Linked DNA regions of Bombyx mori. The protein of the gene in region 1 interacts with the protein of each later gene in a pairwise test. Links are inferred from orthologs where the notes say so. Each region holds a gene or a part of one and is shown on either strand. Other genes may lie near its edges. The genes, in order: kinesin-like protein unc-104 and liprin-alpha-1.

The links.
Region 2: the proteins of kinesin-like protein unc-104 (region 1) and liprin-alpha-1 interact in binary tests that used the Caenorhabditis elegans proteins (3 or more experiments, as listed by UniProt). The link is inferred for Bombyx mori from reciprocal best matches to the Caenorhabditis elegans genes unc-104 and syd-2.

What each region holds. Positions count from the first base shown.
Region 1 is NC_085109.1:3,714,390-3,718,220, forward strand, and holds part of kinesin-like protein unc-104, read right to left. Parts: intron 3,221-3,831; coding exon 3,097-3,220; intron 2,366-3,096; coding exon 2,236-2,365; intron 1,783-2,235; coding exon 1,608-1,782; intron 663-1,607; coding exon 526-662; intron 1-525. UniProt on the Caenorhabditis elegans protein: Motor protein involved in microtubule-associated anterograde transport. Regulates the transport of synaptic vesicle precursors in the axon of DA motor neurons. Regulates the polarized sorting of axonal proteins.
Region 2 is NC_085129.1:15,096,317-15,100,247, forward strand, and holds the start of liprin-alpha-1, read left to right. Parts: upstream 1-1,411; 5' UTR 1,412-1,699; coding exon 1,700-1,948; intron 1,949-3,931. UniProt on the Caenorhabditis elegans protein: May play a role in regulating the structure of the neuronal region, called the active zone, from which synaptic vesicles send neurotransmitter signals across the synapse. This may be in association with the liprin-beta protein hlb-1.

The DNA.
Region 1 (3,831 bases):
TTATATCTTTAGTTGTGTCAAGAAATAATTTAATGTGAAAAATTCATACTATATTATATTTTTTTTATTATCTATAAATTAATACGTGAAGCAAAAACTTTGTACACCTTTTTTACGAAAATTGTGCGGACGGAGGAGCATGAAATTTCACACACTTATAGAGAATATAGAGAAGTGCACAATGCTATTTTTTTTTATTATGCCTACAAAATATATTACATCAATAAAAAAACACATTACATTCCATGTATTTTACACACGCATACGCATATATACTCTTTTGTTTATTGTTAAAGTCTGTAGTCAAATTGAGTATAGATTAATATTGTTTGTTTGCCTTTAATATTATTTGACGAAATCTGTGATTATAGAAGTATCATGATTATAGAATATGTAGAAATTATAAGAAGCATGTTTTTGACAATATAACTATGAATGTAGTAATAATAGCAGTAGTGACTAGTAGTAAGTAGTAGTAACCAGAAGTAACAAGTAGTAATAATACTGTATCGGATGGTGTTATACCTGAAGGTGTTGGGCATGCGCACCATCTGCTCCTGGTCCTCGGAGTACTCGACGTGCGCGTTGGCGAGGTTGATGACGGCGCGCTCGATGGGGTCGCGCTCGTCGCGGTATATGAACACGTACGGCCTCCGGACCACCTGGACATCGCGAGCTCCGATCAGACCCACTCGTCTGGTGGCTGTACCGTCCGCATCCCCAGGACACGGACGGTACAGTGGATCGATCAAGCGCAAGCGCACTCAAGCACCCCAACCATTTCGGAATTTGAACAGAAAAGTGAGATCACACGGTACCATCTAAGCATTGCGTTTACAAATACAATTTCATCACCAGGTATATAAATACTTAACCCCATACCTTGTGAATATTCCACAGTGCAGGAATAGCATTGTGCAATACAATCAAACCTCCAAAAATTATAATTAGTGTAACTAGTGATAGTGATGGTAGAGCGAGTTGTGAGCCCGCACGGGTAGGTACCACCACCCTTCCTGTTTCTGCCGTGAAGCAGTAGTGCGTTTGGGTTTGTGCATAGGGTGGGCTTTGTAAACACTAAGACTTAGAGCTCATATTTAAGGTGAGGTCGGCATTGAAATGGTTGATGTCTATGGATGCCGGTTACCACTGCGCTTTGAGATTAAAGTGCATATCACAAACTGCGGGACTTTTTGGCGGGAACGCGAGGAGTGAAGTTGTGTGATTTGTTTTAATTTGTCTACTTAGTGTTTCTTCAGGTTTAAATGTGTAATAACGGTGAATTATTAACTGTTTAGTATCTGTGCAAGTGCACAAATGTGGGAAAATGAAACAAAGCCGCTGGACGTAACTTCTCGGGATCCTCCAAAAAGTCCACTGAAAAAATCTCAATAAATGACCACCATTTTACTAAGATTACATTTCATCCTATATCATCTCATCCCATCTGGTTTCATTTAATTTCATCTCAGTTGATTAATGTCTCATCTCATTTCAGTTCACACCATATTATCATTTTTCATAAAAATGAGAATATGAATTAAAATAAGGCATGACCTAAAGGTCTTAGTTACCAGGTCATAAAATTATAAAAAAAACTGTCGTACCAGCCAGCGTTTCTTCCAGCCGTGCGTGCCGTGCTGCAGCACGTTGAGGTGTCCGCGGCGCGCCACGGCGGCGGACACGCGCACCTCCTCGCAGTCGGGCACGTACAGCGCGCCGCCCGCCGCCCCCCACCCGCACGCCGCCTTCTCCAGCATCGCGCGCTCCGGGGAGCACAGCCTGCACAGTTACCGTTACCGTTACGTCATCACTGCGAGAGCCTGTACTTTGCAGACTAATTAGTGTGCACAGTGCGAGTTTTTTAACGTTCTCGATAGCGTTAAACTCAGATTTGTATGCAGCTACTACCCTAGCGGCAAACGTAGGCAAACTTTTGGGAGGATCTCGAGAAGCTATATCCAGAGGCTTTGTTTTATTTTCCCACATTTGTGCACTTTGACAGATACGAAATAGTTATTAAACCACCGTTATTACACATTTAAACCTGAAGAAACACTAAATAGACAAAATAAAATAAATGACACAATTTCGCTCCTCGCGTTCCCGCCAAAAAGTCTTCTTTCGAACTACGATTACCAAACGTTTTTTTTTTCTATTTTCCTATGCATCGGGGAAAGTTTCATTCTGCCAACTCTACCAACTTATTTAATTTGCTTTTTTTACAGCACTCACTCAAAGCTGCTAGCGCTGTGTATGGACGACAGGAGACTCGGAGTGGAGATGTCAGCGGAAACGCCCTCGTCCACGGGCGTGGCGGGAGACACTGCGGTCTCTACTTCCTTGCCCGTCGAACCTATTCTTCCTGAAATTATTACATTTGATTTTATTTTAAATTGGGAAACCAGTGGCTTCGACCCCTTCATGCCTTGATGACCACTTATGAATCGTAAGCTTGTCTACCTTCAGCAATAATGAGCTTTTAATCCGAATCAATTTTCTATTAAATAGGACGTCATCTTATCGGCAAACCGCCATTTTGAATTCTATATGCTATCATGCAACACAAGATATTTGACAGATGCCTGAATCTCGTTTACAACACATTCAAAGCTTGCATTTATACAAGTTCCGAACAACAACATTCGGACTGTCGGTCTACTGAGCAATTACACCCGTTCGGTGGAAGATTTTCCCTCTGTCGCTATACCTCCACACCACAGATTCAATAAATAATAGTTTAAAAATACTAAAAAAATACGCTCTTATAGAAAATTCAACTAAAAAATAGAAAACAAATTTTAATTAATTTCAATTAAATATAGTGTAAGTAAAATTTATTTTCAATTTTTTTAGTTGGATTTTCTATAAAAGCATATTTTTTTTTAAACTATTATTTATTTTTCATTTTTTAGTTGAATTTCAATTTTTACAATTTTTTATTATTTAAATATTGAATTGTCATCGGTCCTTAATAAGTATGCCAAACTTCGAGTTAATCCGACGTTTTGAAGGGCGTCAAAATCATGTTCAAAGATTTCGTTACATACTAACATACATACGTCTGAAGCTAATAAAAATCGAACGCGCACTCACCTTGCATGAGCTTAATGAATTTGGTGGCGAGCTCTCGTTCCTTGGGCGACATGTCCCAGGGCTCGTACACGGGCTCGTCGCGCCCGCCCTCGGCCGCCGCCTTCGCCGCCATGTTGCACACCTCCTGCGGCCAACGCACAACACTTGTTCAATGTTTTATCGACACAATTTGTGTTCATCGCCATCGCGTGTGTTCCGAGTAATAAGTAACTATACAGTGTATTCTCAAGAACACAAAGTACATTTATTTTGTCTATTTAATGTTTCTTCAGGTTTAAATGTAAACAATTGAGGGAAAATGAAACAAAGCCACTGAACGTAACTTCTCGGGATCCTCCAAAAAGTCCACTGAAAAAATCTCAGTAAAAGACCACCATTTTACTGAGATTATATTTCTATGTAATCATTCTGATTTTTTAGTAAATTTAATTCGTTTTTAATCATTTATATTATGTCGCGATTAGTTTCATTCGTTTATTATTATTCATAAAATTGTAAATAATTAAAACGGCGAATTATAAAAATCTTATTACTTGACGCTGGCTAATGCACAAACCGTGCCGGAGACAAAAACTAAAGAAGACGAAGAAATAGATTATTATTATTATTATTATTAGCGACTTTTTGGCGGGAACACGAGGAGTGAAGTTGTGTGATTTGTTTTATTTTGTCAATTTAGTGTTTCTTCAGGTTTAAATATGTAATAACGATGGTTTATTCACTGTTTAGTATCTT
Region 2 (3,931 bases), on another chromosome or scaffold:
CATATTATATATATTGAATATTGATTAAAATAATTTATTAGATCATAAATTTATCGGCTGATTCTATGATCAATCTCAGTTTGATCTCAGGTCTCAGAGTATGAATTTACTGACCTCTAATCTATTAAACTAGTACTAATTACTGCGTAATATTAAATAATTCATCTTAAATCATTTAGAGTACCGACTAAAATTTACTTATTGTTGTATTATTCCAACCTGGAAATTAAGTATTCAAGGCAATTTTAAAAAGTAGTTTTATGTGGATAAATTGTTATTAGCCGTTTCCATGATATTTAGTTTTTTTCATACCTATTTAACTTACTTAACGTACCTATTTAATTTATTTAATGGTAGGCAGCGGCTTGGCTCTGCCCCTGGCATTGCTGAAGTCCATTGGTGACGGTAACCACTCACCATCAGGTGGGCAGTATGCTCGTCTGTCTACAAGGACAATACCTACTAGTATAGAAATTGTCATATGTATTTTTTTTATTTGTATTTTTTAACTTGATATTAGACTAGTAAGTCTAATAAATCAAGGACGGTCTGAACTAATATCATTTGGCTCGTGGACTTGTGCATCTTTCAGTGAATGCAGATGCTTATGGAGCCAGGCAGGCTATGTGGGACTTGATGGTGTGCAGACGTTGGAAGTATACCGCGGGCCCGAGGATATTTTAGAGCTCTACTCATCAAATAATTCCCCTTGCATTTTCTCACTCGATGTTCGTTCTCTGCCCAGCGTTCAGAGCCCGGAAAGATTATAGGGTTCCTGCGTTCAACATTATAACCAGAATGGCAGGGCCAACTCGAGGAAGCTCGATCGATGGATGGTCAAGGCGATGGTCGAATAATCTACGTAGGCCATCTCGGTACGCCACCCTGTCAGGCCCCCCCAGGACCCAGGCGGTCCCAGTGGTGTCCCGGGATACCCTACTTGGTCTCCATACCGTCCCATTTAGATTAAGTTGAACATAGATGGAAGGATTTCGTCAAGATTTTGCTACTTTTCGCGTAAAGGGCTATGTGTTCGCATTTCATATTACACGAAACAATTCTAAGCCGCACCAAAACCTTAGATCAGTGGTTCCGCAAATGGCGCATAGAATTGAACCCCACGAAAAGCAAAGCCGTGTTATTTCAAAGAAGGAACTCGACGCAAAGTTCTTCTAATTTTGAAATTTTGAAGTTTTTTTAATTAATTAATTGAGTTAATTTTGATTCATAGATTTTTAGTCTTTTTAATGAATTTCAAAATAATTGAAGCTTTTTATACTTAGTTAAACTATACTTTTGAAACCGAGACTAGCGTCTTTTTACTACAAAGCTGTTGAGTGTATAAGTTTTATTCCCTTTGCCGATCTAATCGGAAAAGTCAAATAAAAAACTCCTTCATCTGAATTTGACGGATTGACGTTCCATTCCAAGATGGCCGACATGCCGCTTGTTCCATGATAGAACAGAATCGTAAGAATACGATATTTAGGTGTGTCTATTTAAATATCGAACTAGAATGTCTCCCGAACTTTTGATTAATATTTTATACGAATATTCCGAGTATGTGAAACCGCTTCCCCGCGTTACGTGCGCTAGATTTAGGTAACGTTTGTGCCGGAACATATGCACTAAAACTGATCGAAATCGTGTTTTCTGTGTGTCGTGTACCATAGGTCTTCTGGTTTAATGTTAAATTAAAATGTGGAATATGATGTGCGACGTGATGCCTACGATATCGGAGGACAGTATCAGCCAGCGGAGTTCGCAGGTCTCCGGGGAGGATGCGAACTTTGAGCAACTGATGGTGTCTATGTTAGACGAACGCGATAAGTTGGTTGAGAGTTTGCGAGAGACTCAGGAGCGGCTCGGTGACTCGGAACTGCGCCTCAAGGAAGTGGAAAAGGAGAGAGATGCCCTTCATAGACAGATCGCCGCCAACCTACCACAGGTTAGTGTCTCCTTCCTAACTTTAGAATGTCAATATGAGTTTCAGCTCCAAAATTTATATCTTGTTTTAATAAAATAGCAAAGAACCTATCTTAAAAAGGCTCAGTTCAAATAGCCCTTCACCTAAACATTGTACAACTCCATTTTCCAATATTTAAAATCATCAAGAGATTATAAGTAAGTTAAGAAAGTTAGTATCTAATTATAATTTTTGAAATATATTTCAAACAGGTTTTAGTTATTTATTCTAATTAAAATTAACACTGAATAACTTATCTACCAGAAAAAAAAAACTAAAACAGGATGGAAAATGTCAAATTTAATTTTGTTGTTTTCTTTAAAACATTTTTGTTCAATAACAATTTGAGTATCAAATCAACTTAATTACTTACTATATTTAGTGAATTAGAAATCTTAATAAATAAATAAAAATCGGAAAGTTTTTTTTTTATTTGCTATTTCATATAAAATCAGAACAACAAATCAGTACTTTATTACTGATACTTAGAAAACATGTTTCACTGTTTTGCAAAAATGGTACTTGAATGGTATTGTAGGGAACATCTAATACACTATAAGAGTATGAAATAGATGTAAAAAACTAAACAAAAAAATCATTTTATTCCCCATAAACAAGACAGAGTGAATTGATAAGCTATTTCGCTCTTCAAACCATTCATAATGCAAGAAAGCTTTATGCCCAAAATAGGTGGGAAAGTGTAATTTTTTATATTCCAGGAACGGTTCCTGTTATGGTTCCATTGAATTAATGTATGTGGCATGTTACTAGAAGTTGATCTTCTTCACAATGCAGTCACGGCAGGGTGTAATCAGGTTCTATTAGTTAAGATATAAAAAAATTAAACATCCTTCTTTGTGTACAATTAAACATAGTTTTGATAAAACTTTTCTACATTAAGCAAATCAAAGTGAAACAGAACCACTAGGTCAAGGATGAAGTTATAATCGTTGCTCATCCACTGGAACATTATGATCTGATATGTTACTTTACAAGAACATTAATGATATCTTAGAATTAAAAGATAAATATCCATGATTTAGCTTTATATTAAATTATCTTAACACACATTGTGACCTTGAGTTGTATAGTACTTTCACACTTATCAGTTGGAAGTCATCATATTATGCAATTAGGATCTTATTTTTAAAGTGAGTATTCACAGTACCTTAAGTCTTGGGTGAAAACTTATCTAGTGGGCTGTCCTTACAGAAACCATCAAATTATACCTGTAACACTGACATTTTCCAACTTTGAAAATTATCAATCACCATATTATATTAATTGCCCTATGTTATTTTCTACTTAAAACCCCTTTTGCTTAAAGAAAATCTGATGGTAGATTCAGCAGATGTTAGCAAAGTCACTCAAGCAGAGCTGTGTGGGCTTGTACACACACTTATAAATTACACTTGTATTTTTTTTTACTTATTGTACTTGTCAAGAAAAGGGAAGACTAGAGTGGTATACTAGAATGAATGTATTTTCCGCATGTTTAATTGGAATCATCTAATTGTCCTACTCCAGAAGTATCGGTCCTTATTGGCATTAGTAGTTTTTTTTGGATTTAACAAACATCTTAATTGTCGTGTCTTTACCAATTTGAGCTAAAAGACATTTATATGTATGCTTTAATTAGATCTTCACTTGACAGATCACAGACGCAGCCCTGTGATTTGCAACAAAAATGATTAAATTAACAATCTTAGAATATTCAGTTTACCACACCCTAGTTTTCGTTAAACAAAAATGTTATGTACTGGTGTGTGTTGCTAATTTCGCGCAGCGGATGATAAAACTGTTATCAGTAAGGACGTTCTCATACGAAATTAAGCTTATCAACGGTCTTGGTTGAAACATGCAATGTGCATTAAGGACAGAATCGCTCTGGCGCCTGGCGTGTATGGGTCGAGTGCTCTGGGGAATTGTTTGAAATGATCTTGTCATCTCCATTTCACCATCGGA